Linked DNA regions of Lonchura striata. The protein of the gene in region 1 purifies or fractionates together with the protein of each later gene. This does not show direct contact. Links are inferred from orthologs where the notes say so. Each region holds a gene or a part of one and is shown in the gene's direction. Other genes may lie near its edges.

Region 1 (11,998 bases):
ATTCAACAGTTCAACATGACAAATGGATATATTATGTTTTGAATTCTTGGATACACCTACAGATATCTAAGTTTCTGGAATTCTTGCCTTACTAATATTTATGTTAAGGGTATGTGATTAAAAGTGAGTTAAAATTACTCAGATTGTTAGTATTTCCCATCTTTTGGGTTACTAGTATAGATCTTAAACCTTTGAGGTGTATGCACTGAAGAGCTATTTGCCCACATGGTCCTTCAAGAGAAGAATAAATTTAAAAGATTTTTTTAAAGGTGTCACTGCTTCTGATCTTTTCATATTTAGATTCACAGTGTCCTTCCTATGAGGGTTGTCTTGCTTTTGAGAAAGAAGGCTCTTTAAATTGTGCTGTGGACCTATGAGTATGTGGCTTTGTCCGTGCAGCAGTATTCCTGTTCATTGTACATAATAAATTTTTATTTAATTTACTTTATGAAAAAGGCCCCCAAAACTAGATATTTAAATTTGAGTAGCCAAAACCACAGCTCTGTACAATTTAATACTAGTGTAACATATTGATATTAGAGATTTTGCTACTTTCACCTAAGCAGTCAAATATCAGGATCCTCTAGTATTTTTCTAGTGTAATAATAATGGAACAGCTAGCTATCCCTTCAACAAAATCCTCTTACTATTAAGATGATGGTTCCCATGATTTCCCACTGCATTTGCAGAACTCTGTATCTCACAGATAAAATCTGGAATTTATGTACTTCTGTGTTTAAGGGAAGGAGCTTTTCAGAGTTTATACTCTGCTTTTATGTCGTTAGCAGTGTATCAGCATTAATACCTCTGTGTTATACAAAGACATAACACTGCAGTCTTTCCAAGCACTGAAGATCACAAGTTTGAATAAATTTTTCCAAGAACTACAGAACTCATGAAGCCAGATTTCCTCCAAATTTGTATTCTAGCCACTGAAAGCCATGACTTACCTCCCTTCACAACCATAACCCTTTCTTTGTTTAGTCCTCCCCTACCTGTTCAGGATGAGCAAGAGGCTGGACTTCAGTTAAGTCTTAAACTATATGTGTAGTTTATCCCATCCTCAGTCCAGGGAGAGACCTTCTGTCAAAGGGCCATTGAGTCTCAGGCATGACTGATGAAATTACATCATCCCATTGTGAGAAGCTCTGCCCAGGGGGAGAAGCCAAACATTCCTACCTAGATAAAAATCTGAGATTTGGAACACCAGGAGGACTTTTTTCCATCAGATTCCCAGAGGAAGACCAGGCCCATCTACACCAGCACTGGACCTTCAGAGGTAAACTATGCCTTCTACAGGACCACTGCTTCAACAGAACCATGTCTGTCACTCCAGGAGGACTGCAGCCACCATTTAATGAGACTGCTGCCAGCACCCTGATCAATAGGGTGTCAGGTTGTATTCTGACTCTGTCAGTGGTGTGGTTTTTTTTTGGGTTTTTTTTTGTATTACTGCATTATTATTTTAATTTTCCTAGTAAAGAACTGTTATTCCTATTCCTATATCTTTGCCTGAGAGTCCCTTAACTTCACAATTCTAATTTGGAGGGAGGGGGTTTACATTTTCCATTCCAAGAGAGGCTCCTGCCTTCCTTAGCAGACAACTGTCTTTGCAAAACAAGACACTGTCCCTTGGACAAAAGCTAAGTGAACACATATCCCTCTCTGGGACATTACTAGGTTTTGTTCCAAATGCTGTTTCGCAGGACATGAAGAAACTTGGTATCTTTAATACTCATGCTCTCATGTAATATAAGATCAAAATCAGACAATGGCTTCAAAAGTAGCAGGGAGAGTGCAATTGAAAAAAAAAAAAAAATCAACAAACCTCATACCAACCAAATAAACCACCAAAACCAACAGACAACCATTACCTAAGTTTTGTTTCCTTAGCATGCTAGGATTGTGTCAGCCATGTTCAAAGAACAGAAAGTGTAAAGGTCCTGTCACAACCAGAAACTTTCATACACGTGGAAGTTATTTAAAAGTCACCTCCAAATCACAATGTTTGAGTTCTAATGTAAGCACTAGCACCCATATCTGATAGGAAAGAGCTTTTGAAATGTGAATACTCTGATACAGTGGAAGTTGCAACAACTTTTCTTTTAACCAAAAGTAACACGCAACCACCAAGATGTTTTATTTTTCTTTCCCAACTTCTGAAATAGCTTTGCAATATTGACAAATGCACAAAAGAAACCCTGTGCATGTCTGCCAGCCCCTAGGGGAGAGAGAATTTTGTACAGAATTCTGTTCTATCAAAGGAAACATTTTGCCCCAATCTCTCCTGTTATGTCACCCACAGGAGGAAAATGGATATTTTGGAAATAGGTCATATCTCTTTGCATTTATTTTGATTGGTAAAACTTTACACCTTTTGCAGCATGTATCAAAGTATTTTGCTTAAAAAACCCCCATGATCAGAGGAATGAACTTCATCCAATAGCCTTCAAACACAGCTCATAACTGGTACTCCATGACTGCTGCTTTAAATTGCTGCTGATCTTGACTTGCATGCAAATAGTCTTTTCAGAGCTCTTGTGACCTACCTCCTAATATTGCACTTTCAAATTGAGGGTGAAGAATTAGATTTAATAAAGTATCCAGAGTATATTTTTTTAGTGATAGAAAGTGAAATAATTTTGTTTGCTAGAATCTAGAGACCCCAGGGCAACCACTTCTTTTTGGCTAATAGGTTGCTCTTTGGCACCTTTGGAGGACCTCACCCCAACATCCAGACTTGTGATTGATGACCAGTCCAAGACTACCAGTCCAAAATGCTACATCTTTGAGATGGGAGAGACTCCAAATGAGAAGTTATTTTCAACTCATTAAGATATAGTGCACTATATTGCACACATGGTAAAATTTCTTTCATCCCTGCTTCTCCTTCAAGGTTTCATCTATACCAGTATCCTAATGACTCACATTATATATATATATTTCTGGTTTCTCCCTTTACAATCTCCTTCTTGTCAGAAATACTTAGTTACTATGCAACTACTCACTACAACAAAAGCTGGCAATCAGGTTTATAATCAGAAAGTCAGGATCTGCATTTCAGAGTCTAAAGTGATACATACTCACCGCCTCCATTCCATAAATTAGGTGTAAAATTACAGCTTTCCTCCCTAGCTTTTTCTAAAGGTGTCTAAAACTGGGAAAGGAGATACCAACATCTGTACTAGCCAACATTTTATTTATAGTAATTGTTATTGCATCCAATTTTTTTCAATGCTAGTTTTCCAGATTTAATTTTTATATGGTTGCCAGTTATCCCTGTTAATGGTATCTTTCTGATTTTTGGAAAATACCACAAACCGCGCCCCCCCACCCCCAAACTGTTAATACCCACCTCTCCATTAAATGCAGATCTGAGCAGATGAGGATTATGACAATCACCTTCTTAATAGTTATTTTACTCTAATGAAGGGCATAAGTCATGATCCAGAAAAAAAAAAAAATCACACCTTTATAGACACATAACACTTGCATTTGCTTATATTGATGAAATGGTCATTCCAGAGACTGGTGCTCTGGTAGTTGGCTGGATTCATAAATGTATTTATACACACTAAACAAAAATCTTTGCAAGTCCTCTAACAGACCACGTAGAATTTCATCTTTCCCCACCTCTTCTAGCATTTGCCTCTAGAGATCTGATTAAGATAGGTGCTGTCACTTTATATGTTAAGGGCTTATAAGTGATCTGATAAATTAGCTTTATAGTCTGGAAATAAACTGTAAGCTGTCATAAGCCTTGTGCCCATATGTAGTGCCCAGAAGTACCCTTTGCTCTTATGTTTTCTAGCACTTCATTTGGACAGACAAGTTAACTTCAACCAGTACTTTTTTTTTTTCCTCCACACAACAGATTGCTTTAGCTGGGTAATCCCCCCCTCTCCTGGCTATAAACAGAATAGAACCATGTGGAGTTGTGTGTTGTTAAAAAAAAGTTTCTGTCTTAACTCCTTATCTTGGTTGCTTATTTCAACCAGGGCATGAAAATTTTGATTTCCTTCTGGGGTTTATTTTTAGCTCCTTTAGACTTTGTTCCAACTGTTTGAATAGGAAATAACAATCAAGCCAAAGGTTTCCTGTTTTCCTGCCATTCCTTTCCCTGCAACTATTTCCAGTAGTTTTGTTTTGTTTTTGTTTTTGTTTTTGTTTTTTTTTTTCCTAGTCCAGAACCTTTGATTTCTAGTCTTTTTATCTTCCTAATCCAAAAGGAAACACTTGAATTGGGGATTGTTAGACATTTTTACTTCTGGTTTTGTGTTTTGTGGGTTTTTTTGTGATTTTTTTTTTTTCCCTTTCTGAATCCCTATGGATATCTTGAAAGAAAATTCAGATCCAACTGATGAAATTTCTAGGTTTTCTTCTGGAATGTCTCCTGATGTTGTTCCAGGCCATCTCCTAGCTCCTTTCAGCCATTTGACTACCAGTTTAACACTTTAACCAGGCTCCCTCAAAAGAATACCAGATTGGAGAAAAAAAAAAAAAAAGTACCTTGGTAACTACTTTGGTCGGTTTTTAAAGCTATGTGAACCTGCACTTGGCCAGGCTTCGGGGACTCACAAGTTTCCTGGCAAAAACCTGGGGACAAAAGTTCAGCTGCTGTTGCTCCGTTAAACAGCCAGAGCCACGTTTAAAAACGCTGGGCCAGGCCAGCCCGGCCCCTTATGCCGAGGTCCGGCCGGCCGGAGCTCGCCCCGCCCCGCACGGCCGGCGGTGCCGGGAGCCCGGAGCGCAGCGAGGTTGGCAGGCGGGAGGAAGGGATGGCGGCGGATCTAGGAAAGCACTCAGGATTCCCACGCGGGCTACAGTTATTTTACAAGTCGTAGGTTTGTATTAGATGTTAGGAAGACATTCTTTACTGTGAAGGTGATGGGGAACTGGAGTGGCTTATCCAGAGAAGCTGTTTCCATCTGAAACCATTCTATGAATCTATAAAGAAAAGATGAAAATCGTAATGGGTATGGAGAAAGGATGCCAAGTGGTGCTGCGTCCATTTGTGATTAAAAAGCCAGAGACAGCAAGAAGAGAAGGGATGGAGTTTGCACACCGAAGGGTGGGAGGTTAGTTATGCCTAATTTTTCTCTCACTGCTCTTGGAGAAGAGGTGGCACACCTACATACACTCCTCTTTGGGGAGATACAGGGAAATTACTTGCATTGGATATACAGAGATGTGGGAGAAAAGAAGTGAGTAATGTACAGCAGTGGTTATTGTGGTTGAGGTGGGCAGCTATTGCTGTGGAGGTGGAAATCCATAGGGAAACACAGAAGTTAACTGCCTCACAATATAGCCTCCATAATATCCATCCAGACAGCTGAGAGGAACTAAATTTGGACTTCAACATGAAGAACTGCACCTGCCAGGCACACACAACTTTTAACTCCTTTGAAGTGGCACATCACATCACTGAGACACACTGTGCTTTTCTACTGCTCTTTCAGCTGGCCCAGATATCAAGAGTGAGCCTGTGCAGTACAAGTGAGCTCACCTTCGGCCCAAAGCTATCACCCACATGCCCTGCAGGCCACAACCAGCTCTGTATTTCAGGACTCTTGAGGATCCCTGCCGGACTCCCTTGTGCCAAGGTCCTGAGGTGAAGCTAATCAGTCCCTCACAGCAACAGGACAGTTCAGACAGCTTTTTCCAGAAAGTGTCACTTCTATTCAGTACATCTTATGTACCGCAATTAACAGCAATTGGTCAATGAACAGATAAGTACTGATACTCAAAGCCAAAAAAATTATCCCAAACCTGCACAGATTGCAGATTGTCTCTTTAGTCAGTTCTCATATCCACTCCAGTGGACCGCTGCCACTTCCAGTTAAGTCTGACTTTAAAGCATATCACACGTACAGGACAACATAAGACACTGGGGAAGTAGCAAGTTCTGCTGAGGAGGCCACTATTCATAGAATCATAAAATGGCTTGAATTGGAAGGCACCTTAAAGATCATCTTGTTCCAAAAGCTCCTGGAACACCTCCAGGGATGGGGTATCCACAGCTTCTCTGGGCAACCTTTTCCTCACCACTTTCACAGTAAAGAATTTCCCCTCAATAACACAAGGACCTCTCCCCTCTGAGATCCGAGTCATAAGGGACATCTTGCCAGCATGCAGAACTCCTCGGCAGGAGAGTGGTGGGGCCACACGTGAGGCAGGGAACGGCCACGATCGAACCCCCACCACACAGGGCCACGGCCTCGCTCGGCGTCCTGCGGGAGACGCGGGCAGGTACGAGACTCTGCCTGGCCGCGATGAAGCCTCTCTCGGCACCGAGCAGTCCCGTGCGTGTCCCGGGACAGGAGAGGGGCGCGAAAAGCCGCCGCTACGCACCCGGCCCCGCACAGCGCCCTTCCGGCCCTCTCAGGGCGGACCACAATTCCCAGAACGCCGCGCGCGTGGTGACGCCAGACGGCGGCGGGACTTGGCCAATGGGCGGGCGCGCAGGCACCGGGCGGGGCGGAGCGGCCGGTGGCAGCGGCGGAGCGGCGGCGGGAAGGGCGGGCTTGGGGTTCCACAGCAGCGGCGGGGACGATGCCGGTGCATTCCCGGGAGAAGAAGGAGAATAATCACGATGAGATGGAGGTGGACTACGGAGAGAACGAGGGCAGCAGCTCTGAGGAGGAGGAGACCGAGAGCTCGTCCGTCTCCGAGGAGGGGGACAGCTCAGGTAGCGCAGCCGCCCGCAAGGCAGCGCCGCTGAGAAGGCGCCGCGGCGGCTCCTCAGCGCTCGGTGCCGCCCCGGGGACACACCGGTTCCGCCCGGCTCTGCTGCTGTCGGTGTGCCCCCTCCTTCCCCTCCCCCCGTGACCCCGCCCCGGCCCAGCCTCTGCTTCAGCGGCTCTTCTCCGGGCGGCCGGCCAGGGCGCAGGAGCGGGGCGGGGCGCACGGGCAGCGGGCCCCGCTGCGCCCCGAGCCCCGGCTCCGGAGCGGGCGGGTACGCGGCCATGGCGGCCTGGGCCGCGCTCCTCCGCTCGCTGGAGGAGCGTGGGTTGTGCCCTGTTGGCCTTGAGTGCGTCCTCGCTGAGGTCTCCACTTAAGGGCTTATATACATACGTGTGCATGCATGAACACGTGTGTAAGTACGTATTTCCATGCAAGCTCACGAAGTTCAACTAGGTGTTTTAAGAACTGTCTTTGGGGGGGATATTGGAAGCCTGTTAATACCACTGCCCTCTTTTGCAGAGCACTTCAGCCTCTGCTCAGTTGAGCTTCCCTTCTTATTTCCATACTTTCCATCTGGACTGTAGATTTTGAATTACGTTAGTAGCTGAAATCTAGCTTTAAATGGATCACTTTTTCTATGTTTCATTTACACTTGTTATTAAGAAGGTTATTATTAGCTGTTCTAAGTTTCCTTCTAATTACTACTTTCTGTGTTTGATCTTAAAACATGTTTCCAGGTGATAACTGGTAGGATTAGTGATGACATACAAGACAGTGGATGGAAAAGAAGTTGGACAGGGTTAGTGAATTGAGAAAAGTCCTGATGTCGATGTGGACTTGGGCCAGTCCTAGTCCTGACATGTGGTTCTGGCAGCTTAAGTGATTTAGTGCTGAGGCCCCTATATCATCAGATTAAAACCATAGAATATGCTGAGTTGGAAGGGACCCAGAAAGATCATTAAGACCAACTCCTGACTCTGCACAGAACACCCCAAGAATCACACTGTGTGCCTGAGAGTCTGGGATTAGGAAGAAGTAAGTGTGTTTTAAGTGGATGTAGTCTGTTCATTTTTCTTTAGAACAACACCAGAAGCTCTCCAGATAATTTTTGTTGCATTCCACAGAGACTTGCTCTTAAGGGAGTACTTAAAGTTTGATGATGACAAAAAATTACATGGTTGTCTCAGTGTCTTGACTAATATCAACATACTCCTTGTAAGCTTTTTATTCCTACAGACTTAAAATGATTAGCACCCCAAGAAATAAGTCTCAATTGAAATTAGTAATTAATTTTTTGTCAAATTTGTAATTTGCTTTACTTGCACAAAAGGTGCTGTTAGAGGAAGCATGACCGTCCTTGAGAGCTGTCACTCTTTCTATATTGTTAGTTTTGATGTTATGTATTTAGTACAGGTGTTTTATTGACTTGAATATGGAATAGTTGATACGGGATGAATTTAAAAAGCCACAAGTTATGCTTGCTATCCCAGAGGAGAATTTGGCCATTTTTTAAGCACTTTATATAGGCCACATCTTATTAAAAAAAGCTGTTACATTTTAAGTGCTGTGTGGATTTTTTTATCTTTAAACCGTGTTGCCCTAATTGCTGTGTTAGACTGCTTGAGTATAGTAGGAGAAAACAACTGGGATTTTGAAAGTGTTTTTAAATGCCCTAAATACTTTTTGCAGTATGAAACTGTATGGTAAATCTGAAGTTTTGAGACAGGTCAGGCCTATTAGCAACTGTTTTAATATGGAATGAGCAATCCTCCATCTCCTGTGATGTAAATTTTCAATTGGAAAGCCATGAGATTTGATTTTACAACATTTTATGTTTTCAGTAATTCATATTCCATAGTTTGTGTGTTGTTTAAGACCATGAGGAAGAAATTCCATAAATGGGGAATTAAATATATTTCAGGACTCTGAAAATCTTCACCATTTTATGAATCTTATTGAAGGAAGAATACAGATGATAACATTGAAAAGCAACTTGGCATGTGAATTACCATTTAGTATGAATGATAAGGGAGAATTGAAGACTTCTAGGCAGAAAGTCAAAGTATTTGTAGCTGAGAGGAGATTGGAGGTAGCTGTGGTTTTTTTTATCTACAAGGAAGTCAGCTATACCCTCAGATACCAGTGAATATCAATTTCCTTGCAACACAAGTTAAAAATTTAAGATGCAGTCCCTTTCCCCTCCAACAGTGGGTGTGCTCTGATCCTCATCCAGGATTACAGTTCTAGTTTTCTTTGCTTTTTACTCTCTAAACATACACAAACAATAACATCCGTGTTAATTTAAGAAGAGCTTTTGAGTGAACTTACTAAAACATACTTAGAATTAAAAACATAGAAGAACACATTTGAAACATATTTGAGAATAAAGGGGAAAAACTGTTGGTATGCCAGTGCTTGTTCCTGTTTAGTTTCACTGGGAAGTGCCTTCACATTTTAAAGAGGCTTCATTTTTGTAGCACAGAAATGCTTTGGGCAACTCTGGATAATACGATTGCCACATTCTTTAAATCTGCCCAAATTATAAATCACTACATTGATTTTGTTGTGGATATTGTGTCAAACAGTCACATAAAACTTTGTTCTTTCATGTGATTTTCAGCCTTATTCTGGGATTACGGTTTTGCCTTACTTTTGAGAACAATATTTTAATATAAATAGTATCTCTTAATGGCCTGATTGTTCTTCTCCCACTCTCCCCATTCATTGCATTTTTTTAAGCTCTGTCTCAAATTTTCTTGCTCTGCTTTCAAATACTTCAGGTTATATTGTGTTTTAAAACTTCCTTTTTGACTGTAATAACAGTACTAGGTCTTTAATTGGGACTCATAGTTTGCCATTGTAATACTTATTGGTATTGCTGTGCTGACTGCTGGTTTTCCTGTCCAGGCAGCGAAGGTTAGTATAGTTTTTTAGTCTTAAAAGCTTGTGATGATTTCAGGAAGAAGTTGAGTGCTGAGAGGTCTGAGTAGACAATCTGATTTAATCAGATCTTTCCAAGTAGCAAGTGGGCCTGAAGCTACTCCTTTCACCTCATCAGCTTTACAAATTGCCATACTGGTTTGCAAAACAATAAGAATAAAGAATGCTGCATTCTGTAGTTGGTGTAGGAGACAGCATAAAGCAGTTGAACATGTTCGTTGGAAAAATGAGGCAGAAACAAAAAGCTCAGAGTTGTTTATAGGCTAAAAAAATGATCCCTGCTGGGTTCAGGATCCTACTTTTCCTCTCTGTCAGGAGGTAGGATTTTTCTTGCCAAAGTGCTTACATAAGTAAGGGTTCCTTAGGACAGTGCCTTCTCTCAAGCATCTGGCTAGTTCAGTTACAGCTCCTGAGTGCATGGCCATCCCTTCTGCATGCCTGCTACTGGTTGATAGTGGTCAGCTGTAGTGTAACTGTAGAGGGCTAATTCTTGCAGATACTGCTGTTATAAAGCAGTTTCACTTATCTGACTTTGGAATATGCCTTAACAAAACCTTTTTTCTTTTTTTTTTTTTCTGGGAAGGCTGGGAAAGTCAAGAATTTTCTATCTTAGTTTCTCAGTTTTCTAGTCTAAGGAAGGCCAATGGAGGTAACAACGGACGTTTAGTAACATTGGATGTCTCAATGGCAGTGTCAAAGATTTGGCAAAAAATTTTGTGTTTATGTTGTTTTATCTTCCCTAGGTCCACGAAAAAGAATCAGGAATATAAATAAATCTGTGAAAAGAGTTTACACAAACTGCTCTTACTGCATAAAAGCATATAAAGTCAAGTGCAGTGTTCTAGACTTCTCAGGTTAAGAAATGTTTCATTGGAGTGATTTCAAATGCTCATTAAAATGAACTGCAGATATTTTTACATTAATATTTCAACTTCAAATAAGTCTTCAATTTGGACAGGTTGAAACTTGTTTCAAAATTATATGTTACTTTTCCTTTTAGGAATATGAATAAAACAAATCTTGAATTTTATCAGACAAATGTAACACTGGACTGTGCTTGCATTCCAGGGATTGCTTTTGTTTGTACTGACCCAAGATACACTTGAATTTTCAGTGGTGGCTTATAACTGCTCATGCTTAATGTTGTCTTTAATTTGGTGTGATATACATAGTTTAGTTTTTCTGTTTCATGCATTCTTATGTATTCTTTGTATTTCAGTCATGAAATTACCCTCTTGAGGTCTTACAGTGCTGTTATTTCCTGTTTTGAGGAAGAAGAATTGCTGTTTATTGCATTCATTCTGGAATTAGGTCTAGGTTTCTTTCTTTGTAGTTTATATGCCAAGTGATTTCTCATATTATGCTTTATGACAATAATATAAGAGGAAAACTGTTCATGGCTATAATTCAGGCACCCTGCCCCTTCATTCACTAGAAACAAAATATCCAGTTTATTTGGTTTATATTACATAATTTTTTTTAATTATTCTTAGAAATGGATGATGAAGACTGTGAAAGAAGAAGAATGGAATGTTTAGATGAAATGTCCAATCTTGAAAAACAATTTACAGACCTTAAAGATCAGTAAGTATTTTAATGTTTTGAGTGCCTCGTTTGAGGATCCATTCCATGAAAATACTGTATGCATCTGGTGTTTCTTGTCTTTCTCCAAAAGTAGCATGTGGATGCTGCTTTTGGAGAAGAGTAAGGACTGGAAATTCTGAAATTACTTGCGGGCAGATGCTCTAGAATGCTTCTGTGTATTCATGTATTTTTTGTTTTACTGTAAGGATGGTTTGAAATGTTGTTCCTGTGAAGAGCTAGTCTGGGTCTGTTGCATGAAACTCCCTAGTAGAACGAAGGAATTGGGATTTTAGGGAAATTTGAGATTTTGTTTAATTACTTATTCATTCTGTATAATTCTCATACTTTTATATATGTGGGACAGACTGAAGTACATTGTCTTTGCTAAGTAAGGAATTAGATTGTTTTTTTTTTTTTTTTACTGCAGCAGTTTATATAGTTGGTACCAATGAAAGTTTCTTTTGATTGCTGCAAACCAGGTACCAGTACATGAGAAAATTAAAATACTGTTATCTCTGTCTGCCATAATACCTACATAAGTAGCTAGTAAAAACCTACTTAAAAGAAGAGATAAGCTTAATAGCCACAGTTATTCAAAAGTGATTGTCATTTGTATTACAGCCTGTCATTTGTATCATAGAATCATTAAAGTTGGAAAAGACCTAAAATCATGAAGTCTAACCATTTACCTATGTCTCTAAGCACCACATCTGTGCATATTTTTTCACACTTTTAAGAATTCCACCGTTTTCTTTGGCAGCCTGTTCCAATGCTTAAACAGAATAAATTT
Region 2 (11,708 bases), on another chromosome or scaffold:
TGTCTCCTATGTCACTGCAGCTCTAAAGTCTTCTGGGAAAGAGAACAGTGGGAGTTGACAAGGCTGTGTGTCATGGGCTGCAAGAGGAAGGAGCTAGCAGAAATAAGCAGGTTTGGCTGGTAGCAACAAAGTACCTTGTAAGCACTGTGATTGATATTCATGAACATACTGGTCTTCGTCTTGCATCCAGAAAAGCTGAAATTAATTTCAATAGGTCTCGTTAAACTTAAATGCGTCTCAAGTGTTGGTCATGTGGCATGCATCTTGTTAATGTAGACATTGTTAGGAGAATAATTTTTTCTGTTACTTCTGGAAACTACTGCTGTGATATGTGTCATAGAAATTACCACAGGATACATAGGTGATCTGAGACTAGAAAGAAAATGCTCATGAAGTTTTCAAATTGTTGATTGAATCATGAGTCTCATTTTTAGTCATGGTTCCCATGGGATTTTCCAGCAGTTGGTGATATAAATGTATCATTTCCTTACAGCACCCCATTGCATGCCCTACTCTATACTGCTAAAGAACTTTACAGTAACAGGGGAGGTTGAGCTTGCTGGCATATAAGCCTATCTGTATCTTTTATGCAGGAGCTCTGCAGGAGGTCAGGAAAGCATTTAAACCCCAAATGCATGTGTAATTTTATTGATTTTATTTTTATGAAAGTGTCTGCATTAGTATCAGACTATATTGTTTTTACTGAGGGAATCCAAGTATCTAACTGATGGTTTGGTGGAAGAAGTGTTCATTTGCTCCCAAGAGGCATTTAAAACTTGCTGTTAACTTCACCTAGAGCGAAGTCAGACCTAGAGATGGTTATAATTGAACTGCAAGGACAAGGGCACTCACTCTAAGAGGCTCTTAGGGCTACAGAACTTTCCTATTTTCCTTTCTGTGAAACAAATGTGTACCAGAAGAGGACATGATGGTGTAACAGAGCCCTGTAGGTTCTAGGATCCTCTGACAAAACCTGAAAAAACCTCTGACAAAACCTGAAATCTGAAGATGGTGTAGTATGTGTTGTACAAAACAAGAGGTTAAAACCATTGTCAAATCTGAATTTATATAACAACAAAACAATAGCTCACAAAATGCAAGACTGTAGCACAGATGACAGTATGTAGAGTGCTTTTTGTGGTATCAAGAGTGCATTAGAGACCAGCAAAATTTGCTGAAAAGATATGACAGTTTATCTTACAGGGAAAAAAAATCTGAGCAGGTTTTTTATTTCATTTCAAGGGACTGAAAAATAACTTGTAAGCAATATACCACATTGGTCTATTACTAGTAGTTAAATTTTTATTGCATTACACAAAACCTCTGGGGGTGATACTCTTCCTCATTATGTTTCAGAGAGCTGCTTTGTATTTCTGAAGAGCATGAGTGAGGATTTAATGGAGTCTCTGTGCGATCTAATATAATGTGAAACAAAATGTTAATCAAAGCAACCTGGATGAACAAGAGATCAGTGGCTGTGAAACAAGCAGAGATAGAGGTGCACTTGGGTTGAGTGGAGACTTCTGGGGGGTGGGGAGGGGGTGTTGAAACTGAGGAGTACCTAAAGCAAAGCTGGAGGTTGGCTCCTCTGCTTTTGGGTGGTCATTGTGTTTGAGCTCCCTCCCCTAACTCATCCTTCATTGCTTAGGCCCACCAACAAACAATTTGTCAAGTACATTTAACAAAGAATATAACATATTTTTTGCACATAAGAATGATGCCTTCTACCAGAAGATAATCTCATGCTTCCTGTAACTAATGGCTTATTATGAAAGAGAAGTTGCACAAACCATTAAAGGGAGTGTGTTACAAAACTTTAAATCTTTTACAGTACATTGGTTTTTCACTTTAAATCCTAAATTATTCTTAAAATGTGTAGTTTTGGACCTTCTTTACTGCTTAAAATCTTTTAATAAAAGCCTTTGTTATATATATTCTTTTATACAGCTTGAGTTTTCAGTGTACAAGGCCAAATGCTTATAAAAGAAAGACTGGCTTCAACTCAGTTCAGACCTGGAGATAATTCTGGTTAAAGTTATGATTTTTTTTTTTTTTTATTACTGCACTTCTTGAACCATATAAAATAAGGTCTATGTGTATTACTAAAACAGATTAGGTTTTGTTATAAAATTAATTATCTGAATTTGTATTTTAACTATCCTAGCCTAAAACATATAAAGTAAAAAAAAAAAAAAAAACTGTAGGCAAGTTCCAATATTCCTAAGCTTTGGGTCTATGCTTTAACAAATTTGGACAATAAATTGGAAGCAGAGCAACAAGCAGTAGGAGGTTAGGTGGTGCTGGAGTGGGAAAGGAAAATGAGGTATTAAAAAAATCAGAAAAAAGTAAAAGGAAAGATAAAATTAATAGCACTTATTTCTGGTAAGGAAGATTTGGCCACTGTTCTTTATATCACAGCCCATGAATGCTTGCTTATAGATTAGGTTGCTTTTTTATTAAAATGACCAGAGTGAGTGGTGGAATTTGCAGAATTTTTCAAATGTTTTAAAAGAATTTTTTTTCACTGAAGTAGTTACAATATATAACAAATAAAATGTGTATTTGCTGAGAAAAAATGCCTACCAATAGTTTTCCTTATTATTCCTTTTGCTAAGAGGATAATTTCAGGTGCTGAACACAAGTGCACTAATGTACTCTTGGACTTCAAGTGAAAGGTACCTGCTGGGGAAGAGAATCATCCTCCCCAGCTGAACTTTATGCCATGGAAATGCATACAAAGTGGCAAGAGCAACATTTATCTTCCAGGATTGATTACTAGTAATGCAATTACTAGTAATTTGCAATGTGCTTTCAATATATCCAAGGTGATGTATCTGATTATCATTCTTCTCTCTCAAATTACAAAACACATCAGTCAAAAGCTAACAGGAGCTGGGACATATGGCATCTCAGAGAAGAACAAGCTGCTGGGCTTCCACCACTTAGAAAGATGTGCTTGGCCTGCCTCAGTGCCAGGAGGGGCCACTGAGTCCTGCTGACTTCAGAGCCTGGGAGCTGTGAATTCAGACTTTTTGGGATGCTGTAGCTCCTGTTCTTTCTGCATGTCACAAGTCATCCATGCTGTGTTCTTGGTAGGCCCAAGGGATATAGATTACTGCTACCTTCTGTACTACTCAGCTCTGCTGCAAGTACTAGTGACACATCATGTACAGGGCAGTTGGTTTGGAGCTGCTGTTTCCTTTGAACTGTTTTAATTTTTGAAGTTTAATCAGTATATGGTTGCAATCCTGCATGTTTTTATGCTTATTTAAAATATGTCCCCATACATGCTTTATTTAGTACCCAGTACTAGAGTTTGTATTAAAAAACTTAAATTTTAGACAACATACTCCACAATGATTTTGCTTTTTATTTAATGTATCCCAAGCTTCATGAAAGTTTGTAAATCTGTTTTGTAGTAAGCTTCATACTTTCTGATAAACCCATGTAGCTGCAGTTCTTTGTATTTTTCATCCCACGTGTGATGCAAGATTAAAAGTGACATGATTTCTTTGTTACTGTAAGCAGGCGTTCATACCAAATGAGGTGGTCATCCCCTGTCAGAGTGCTGCCCTTCTACTGCACCATCCCGGGTGCTGGGGCATCTTGCAACTGAGTGGTAAAACAGGTCAGGATTAAATCTAAACAATTTTTCTTGTTGCTAGCTTAGTTGTAACCCAATACAGTTTGCTGTGCAGCCACAGCAATATTTTTATGGGCACAAAGAGGCACAGGGCACAGGTGCGAAAACGAGCAGCTTACAGCAGAAACAGAACCATCTTTCTAAGTCCCACGACTCTCTTATCATGACCTAATCATGAAACTATGGTACTACTTTACTCGAAATTACGCTTATAAATTAGCATCTTGGCAAGCACGTCTGGGTAACATAGTCAGGCTTTTAACTGCTCAAAGAGGATCAGAAACATTTAAAATGCACACGTGATCTTTCCATCAAACCAAACAACAGCAGCCAGAGCCAGTCATAATATTTTATGCTCATAGTAAGGTCAAATCCATCTGAAATTTTAAAAACAAACAAATAAATAAATAAATAAAAAGGGACCTCAGAAGACATAGTCCAAGAGTCTAGAAATTGCTATTCATGACCCAGATTTTCACTGAAGAATTCCTGGAACTCACCTTTGTCCCACTTTTCCCAGATTTTAGCTTCTGCTATGATATTGGGGGTTTTGTTCTTTTTTATCTTAATATTACTACAGATTTCAAAAGTTTGAAATCACAAGAAACTAAAAAAGTGAGTCAAACCTTTGCTGCCTGAGATTGTTCAGCAGCAGAGCATGGAATTAAACCTAGTCTTCAGCTTGGCTGATAACAAAGCAGAGTTCAGTATTTTTTCCAACTCTCCTCCTATTCCGAACCTCGCTAATCACCGAAACGTGCCTCGGAGAGCTGCTGTGCCTGTGCTCAGGGTAGCTTCAGTTTCTGTATCCTTCATTCGGTTGCGACAGTGGGACCAGCCCTTATTCTCTAATACCCGGTTACGCAATCAGATTAAGGAGCCATCTGCAGCACAAACTGAAACTGCTCTATAATCGCGTTCTCGGCTCACGCAGAACTTTGACTTACGCAGGATCTGTGTCTCCTTGAATTATTCACCAGCCTCCCTGCTACTCCTTCAAGCTGGAAACGCACAGCAAGCGATACGGTCAAATATTTCAGTGATTAAATCATTGCGCTTTGAGCACGCTCAGCTCAAATGCCGTTTCTGAGATTTAAAGGAATATCTGCGGTAGTTCAAAGGGAAAGCAAAACCTCTCCCTTCCTTGTGCCTCCTTTGAATGTGCTTGAAAAGACAGTAGATCAGAGCTTGCTGCTTTTGCCACTCTGCTGTCAACAGCTGAATTGTTAAATGATTTAATGCCAACGCATCTCTTGTGTAGCTTTGTAAAGCCTCAAAACTAAAAATACCTGCTTTTGTCAAGTATTCACAGAGTGTCTATTTTACCCAGCCGTGTGCACAGCAAGGTCTTGGTTCATCATTAGCGAAAATAATTCTGCATTCTCAAGGCTTTCCTGTTGCTACAGTCACCTTTACTAACAAAATGTCTTTTTAAATGACAAAACTAGAAACTCGCACTGTACGTCGCCTTTGTCTTCAAAAGGCTTTGCTACAGGAACGCAGGACGGAGCCCTGACTACGTGTGTTGTAAGATCAGCCCTAACAAAGGCCGGAGCTCCGTTTGTTTTCTGCTGAGAGCCGCAGAGCCAGCGGCTGCGCGGCGGCTCCCGGGGAGCTGCCTCCCGCAGGCGGAGGGGCAGGAGCGCTCGGACAGAGCCCGCCCGCCCTCTCCGGGAGCCGCTGCCAGCCGTAGCCGACAGTAGGCGGAAAGTAGGAAGCGAGGCAGGGCAGAAATGTCGAGAGGGAAGGCACGAGACAGACAATCCGGAACCAACAGCCGGAGCAGTGCCGGCTTCGGCTAGAACACTAGAGCGAGAGCAAGTGAACGGGGGGAGCCGCTGCGGCACAGCGAGCCGGCGGCGGAGGCCACCGGGCCCGCGTCGGTAGGAGCGCGGGTACGAGCTCAGTCGTGCCGGCGGCAGCTCCGACCCGTGACACTCTCCGCGGCCGCCCTTCCACATCCCACGGCGGAGCCGCCGGGGAGGCGCGGGAAGGGGGAAAAAGAGAGACTGACGCACGGGGCTTTGCAGCGGGCCCAGCCTGCAGACGGGATGAAAAGGCAGCGGAGCGCGGCGCGGGAAAAAGAAGCGGCTGCGGCAGCGAATGCTGCCCCCGCCGCTGCCTCGGCCGCGCTCCCGCCGCGCGGTGCGGCGGCGGCCGGGCAGGAACTGCGCTTCCCGTGGGGCCGCGCGCGGCAGCCGGCATGCGCGGCGGGCGGGCGGGGCGGGGCGGCAGGTTGCTGTTGTTACATAGGAAACAGCTGAAGAGTCTCCACATGACAGGGGGGGAAGGAGGAAGTGGGGCGGCCCGCGGGGCTCTGCCGCCGCTGCTCCGGTAGTCGCGGTGCTCGGCTGGCGGCTGCTGGCAGGGAGAGTCCTTCCCGCGACGCGTGGGCTGACCGCCCTCGAGGGCGGACTTGCGCCCCGGTGCCGCCGCCGAAGGGAGGCGGGCAGGGAGCGGGGGAGCCCCCCGCCGGGCCGCGGCGCCTCGCCGGGGAAGTTTGGTGCGGGGCGGGATCCCGCCGGCGGCGGCGGTGGCGCCGGGCATGAACGGCTTCGCCCCCGAGGAGGTGACCCAGCGCGGGGCAGACCCCGCCGCCGCGGCGGCGGTGGGCGCTGCGGGCTCCGCCGTGGAGGTGCCGCCGCCGCCGGCGCCGCCGGGGCTGGGTCCGGCCGCCGCCGCCGCGGGCTCGGCGGGCGGCGGGTGCGCGGGCGGCCCCGGGGCCGGGCAGCTGTGCTGCCTGCGGGAGGAGGGGGAGCGATGCGGCCGCGCCGCCGGCAACGCCAGCTTCAGCAAGCGCATCCAGAAGAGCATTTCACAGAAGAAGGTGAAGATCGAGCTGGACAAGAGCGTAAGTCCGCGAGGGGAGGACGCGCCAGGGCTGCCGGCGGGGCGGGCGGACAAAAGCGGCCGGTAGGTCGCCGCATCTGTGTCTTAGCTGGCTGGGGGACTTTTCCTCAAGTTTGGTGGGGAAGGAGGGGAGCGTGGCGGCGGGGAAGCGTTCGTTCCCCCTTCCCACCTCTTTTCCGTAGCACGGCCGAGTTGGGCTGGCGCGGCAGGAGCGCTGCCTGAAAGTCCCTCCGGGCGGGGGGCAGCGCCCGCCTTTCCTGCCTGCTCCTGAGGTCCCCTGTACCCCAAGAGCCTGGGCATCGACTGCGTGTGCCCCCCTGTAGCCGGAGCCGGGGGTAAGCGTGGCCGGGAAGCGCCGCTGCCCGCCGGAGCGGAGCGGAGCCTGCATGGCTCCCGGCGCGCTAGTTTGTGTTGCTGGCGAGGGCCGCGCTCGCCGCCCCGCCTCGTGTTGCAGCGCCGCACGTCTCCGGTGCCGCTTTATCTCCCGCTCGGCAGCCATCGGGCCCCGCGCGGCCGGGCCGGGCCGGGCCGGGGCCGGCCGCCTTCCAGCGCGGTGCTTCGCCCGGGAGCCCGGAGAGCGCCCGCCTCGCCGGGTGCCGCGGAAGGGCGAGACGGGCTGCAGCGTGGAGCTGCCGGCGGGAGCGCCCCGGGCCGGGGCTGCGTGCGCCCCGAGAGACCCGGCCCGGTGCCCCACGCTGCAGCCCGGTGCCCCACGCTGCCCCGCGCTCCCGTTCGCCCTGAAAGCACGCGGACCGGGGCGTTCCGGGCTGGCAGCGCCCGGATCTCCCAAAGCGTGCAGAGCCCCACGAGTGGGAAACTTGTTAAAAAGAAAGAAAGTAAAAATAAGTGTGTTGCGTGACCGTGCCGGGTAGCGGAAGTAAAACAAGGAGGGGAGGATATAGCTGGGGAAACGAGAGCCGTCTCTTAGCCCCGCAGAGAAAGCTGCGAGCTTGTTTTTTGTTAGCGTGCCGCCCGGCCCCCGCGGTGCGATGCGCGGCCGGAGGGAGGGAAGGAGGGAGGGCTGTGCTGCGTGGCTCCACAGCCTGGCACTGCTGCATCGGCCCATTGCAGCATTTCAGCGAGCTCGGGGCCCAGCCGGTGGCGGGGAGCCGCAGCGCAGCTCGCTCTCCATTTACAATAAACCAGTGGAAAAGCTCCCTCAGCCCAGTTAATGTGGCTGTGAGTGCTTAAGGGTTGTCTGTCTACGTGCACTTCAGTCTGGGAGATACACTACGTGGGTTTAATTGAAAGATACCGTTTTATTCTTGTAGGCAAGACATCTGTACATTTGTGACTTCCACAAAAATCTAATTCAGAGTGTGAGAAATAGAAGAAAGAGGAAAGGCAGCGATGATGATGGTGACTCACCAGTGCAAGACATCGATGCTCCAGAGGTAGCTGAACAGTTGGGTTTTTTTTTCAAGTTATTGTCTTAAGCTTCTTAATGACACTGAGTCTGCACCAATACCACTCTTCCACTTCTGCAGCTTTGCCTTACGTGTAGGAAAGAGAAGATTCTTGATTTGCCCTGTTTTTAATATAACGGAATTTAACTGAATTTTTGTGGTGTGTTTTCTGATTAAATGGTGCATAGGACAATGAAAGAGTCTCTAAGTGTCTGATGCTTCTCTCAAAAATCTACTGTTTTAAGATTTCTCTGAGAAATCTACTGTTTTCCTCCTTCTTACTGTTTTGCCACATGCCATCGAACTCTTACCTTTTGCTGAAGCTTACAAGCTGAAGGGAGTTGCACAGAGTGCTTAGGATATAAATGCTTCTCTGTCCTGTCCCTTTTGTGCTAAATGTGTTGCAGGTAGTTCTAGGCAATTGCTCCATTGCCTTAGTCACTTTAAAGACTGAGAGTTTAATGATGGTAGCTTTGTTTCTGCCCACTGTGGGGGGAAGAACCATTTGGAGAGCTCTGCTATGAAGGAGTGGAGAAATACGGTGTCTTTTAAACCTGTTTTCTCCACTGCACACCAGTGAAATCTGACCCATTAACTAAAGCGTTCAACCTTTCTCATAGTGTAATGGGTCGGTCTTGAACATAAGGCTCTCTTTTTCTTACACATGCTCTAGGTTATTTTTGCTACAACGTTGCTTAGCAGGTGCTCCACAATGTGTTAATTTTGAGCAGAGGCTTATTATGCCTACGTGGTTCTTTCTGAGAGGGATTGTTAAAACATTCTTCAGAAATCGCTCTGTAAGTGTTAATGTAATGGCATCCTTATGGTCAGCATCTGCAGATAACAGCAAGTAAGTGAGTAAAGTTTGTGCAGGAATCTGTGCCTTCAGGCACGAGGCTCCAGTCTGAATGTTCTGTCTAAGAGGATTTTAGGAGATTGAAAGTAGTTTGATGCTGAGTGGTGTTGTCTGTCTGTTAAATATCTGTGATTGTTTCTTGGAAAGTTCTGTCTAAAGCTAGTGCTGTGAGTGACTTCAGGTAGCTTTCTGACACTGTGTAATTGCAGCTCTCCTGGGAGCCTGTTTTGTTTTCTTATGCCAGGATTATAAAACATGTCACAACTGATGGATATCTTCAGAACAAGAAAACAAGCCTTTTTTTTTAAACAGTATTATTACAAAAGAGAAAACTGGGAACTGTTTTTGAGAAGCGTCAGCTGGCTGTTTGGACAACGGCAGTCTGTTCTTTCCTTGTAATTACTGTGTGCCTTAGATACTTGCTTGCTCTTGACCACCTTTATTTTCAATTGTTACCCATTTTGCTAAAGAAAAAAGTATCATTCTTCTGAAGAGTTGTAAGGCTCTCCTGCTCCATCTCAGTCGTGGCTCTCTTTAGGTTGGAAACGATTCCTACAGGAGGAAAAGAAACTCCTGCAGTCCTGGTAGTTTCTGGAGCTTGCTGAGAAGCTGCTGCTCCTCCATGATGCTGCAAGGGTGGCTTCCCCACTGTGGCTTGGGAAGTGTAATTTAATGCCATGTAAACTTTAGAAACACCAAAGGATACCATCCTTTATTATGCAAGGTGGCCTCACTTCGAGTCTGGCCAGGTTGCCAAGTGTGCAGTAGCAACTGCTGTTTTTAAGTGTTCTGCAGTGAGGCTGTTAAATGAATATAAAGCAAAAGTGAATGCCTTCATCAATCTTTAATGCAGCGAATTTGGAGAATACTATTGTAATTGCAACTGACCTAATAGAATTTCTCATTCAGCCTGCTTTCTGAGCTTGCTCTCCCACTCAGTCATCTGATTAAGCTCTCTTAGGTTGTCAGGGAGGATGGGAAGGGTAAGCTGTTGCTGGGAGAAGTGGCTGATCAGAGTACATAGGATTCAAAACTGACGGAGTACTGGATTAAGGCTGTGTATTTGTATCCCTGAGAGGACTTTGTGTAATTCTCTCAACAGGTGAATGACATTGAGAAAGAATTTTGGACATTTATGCCCATGCACATAACTCCTGCATAATTCTTGTGTAGCAAGGATACATTTGGAAAGCAAGAGCAGTTCTTTTCTTTTCTCACCTCAAATCAAGAATGTTTGTGCTCTAGACTCTGTCCTGATTCTAATATGTGCTCTTTCATGGTGCATGGTGTCTTGTATGTAATCTACATAAGATGTAATGGCTGAAATTACAATATAGGGGCCTCCTTTGGATCAGCATCTTTATAGATGTTATGTGATAGTTGCTATTTGGCTTGGTGTTATGCTGGAACTGAGAAGCAAACAAAAAATCCAGAATGGATGCAAGTACAATAGTGAGTTCAAAATAATGTCCACAGCTAAAGGGAGGTAGAAGCATGCTCAGTAACAGCAAAACACTCTTTAAACTGAGCTGGGCTATTTTCCTGTCTGCTAGAAGGTTTGTTTTTTGTCAAAATGACATCTGCTGAGCTGACTGTTTACACTTGCATATCTGTGAGTTTCCAAAATGTTTTTGTGAGACAAACTATTAATGACTGAATTTTTTTCAGTTATATTAGATTGTTTTCTTCCCCTTCCCCCTCTTTTCTTCTAGGTTGATTTATATCAGTTACAAGTAAACACACTTCGAAGGTACAAAAGACACTTCAAGCTACAGACCAGACCGGGTCTTAACAAAGCACAGCTTGTTGAAGTATGTATGAGTGTTTCCCATAATAGAAAATGCAACTTGCTGTGGCATGTCGTTTTCTTTACACTGTGATCCTTGCATAAAGTGCCTATATAATCTGGATTTTAGGAGAACAAAAGGGAGCTGCTTATCTAGCTTCCTTCGTTGGCCACAGCTCCTGAGCCAAGTAAATGAAAAGTAAAAGCTCTTTCCAGAGGAGGGACTCTTAACTTCCAAAACGAGTGTGTGCTGCTTTTAAACAGTGTTGAGCTGGAACAGTAAGATGATCTTCATGCCCCTGAATATCATAGAATCATGGATTTATTTTGTCTGTGGATCAATCACAGCTTCACCAGAAATGTCCTACTGAAAAGAACTAGAAACTGAGAGGTGTCAGTGAAGTTCTGGTGAGGTTCAGACTTTGCTTTAAACACCTAGTTACTGTAAACATAGGTTTCTGTATGTGTAAAGTACAGAAACCTGAAGAAAGTGCTTCTATTGATAATTATGTTAAAACCACTGGAATCTGCTGTCAGAAAACGGGAATTATATGGAATTTACTGTTTCCAAAAGTGCTGAAGCTGCATGTCAGTGCAGCTGGATGTTAGCACCTTTGCTTTGCATGAGTGCAGCCTTAAAGGAATTCTTTAGTGCTGCAAAGGTGCAGTCACAGCATATTGATGTAAATAAGTGGAAGAGCTGGTGATCTTAACAGGAAGGTATAGCTACTGACTTTTCACTTTTGTGCAGTGATACATTCAGCTGTATTTAAGTGCAGACACTTGTTTTCATCTTTTCTTGATCTGTGTGGATTGAAAACAAGGCTCTTAAAGGTATGGGTGATCTCAAGGCTGAACTGTAAAAGAATGTAAAATCAGTCTTCCATTTGCTTATACGTAGGTTAGCTCTTGAATTAGAAGGTCTGTGAATTGAAAAAGCACGAGCAGTTTTTGTTCTGCAAAACTGGTGTTTCGCAGGGACTGCTTTAGGTGCATGTCCTATGTTACTTGCACTAGGTTATTACAGTTCTGCTTGGTGTGCATGGGCAAAGCTGCTTCTGCCACATGCTTGATTTGACTGACCTGCAGGTATTTGTGAGCTATAGCCACAGAGCTATCTTAATATACAGTACATTTGATTCCTTGTAATCCGTCCTAGCATACTGT

What was found.
Region 2: the proteins of BRMS1L (region 1) and SAP30 purify together in Homo sapiens (affinity purification with mass spectrometry; 4 studies listed by BioGRID and IntAct, with this or other methods). This does not show direct contact. The link is inferred for Lonchura striata from reciprocal best matches to the Homo sapiens genes BRMS1L and SAP30.

The regions. Positions count from the first base shown.
Region 1 is NC_134608.1:25,087,429-25,099,426, reverse strand, and holds the start of BRMS1L (breast cancer metastasis-suppressor 1-like protein), read left to right. Parts: upstream 1-6,448; 5' UTR 6,449-6,552; coding exon 6,553-6,688; intron 6,689-11,117; coding exon 11,118-11,208; intron 11,209-11,998. UniProt on the Homo sapiens protein: Involved in the histone deacetylase (HDAC1)-dependent transcriptional repression activity. When overexpressed in lung cancer cell line that lacks p53/TP53 expression, inhibits cell growth.
Region 2 is NC_134606.1:36,157,613-36,169,320, reverse strand, and holds the start of SAP30 (histone deacetylase complex subunit SAP30), read left to right. Parts: upstream 1-6,188; coding exon 6,189-6,494; intron 6,495-7,764; coding exon 7,765-7,887; intron 7,888-10,467; coding exon 10,468-10,566; intron 10,567-11,708. UniProt on the Homo sapiens protein: Involved in the functional recruitment of the Sin3-histone deacetylase complex (HDAC) to a specific subset of N-CoR corepressor complexes. Capable of transcription repression by N-CoR.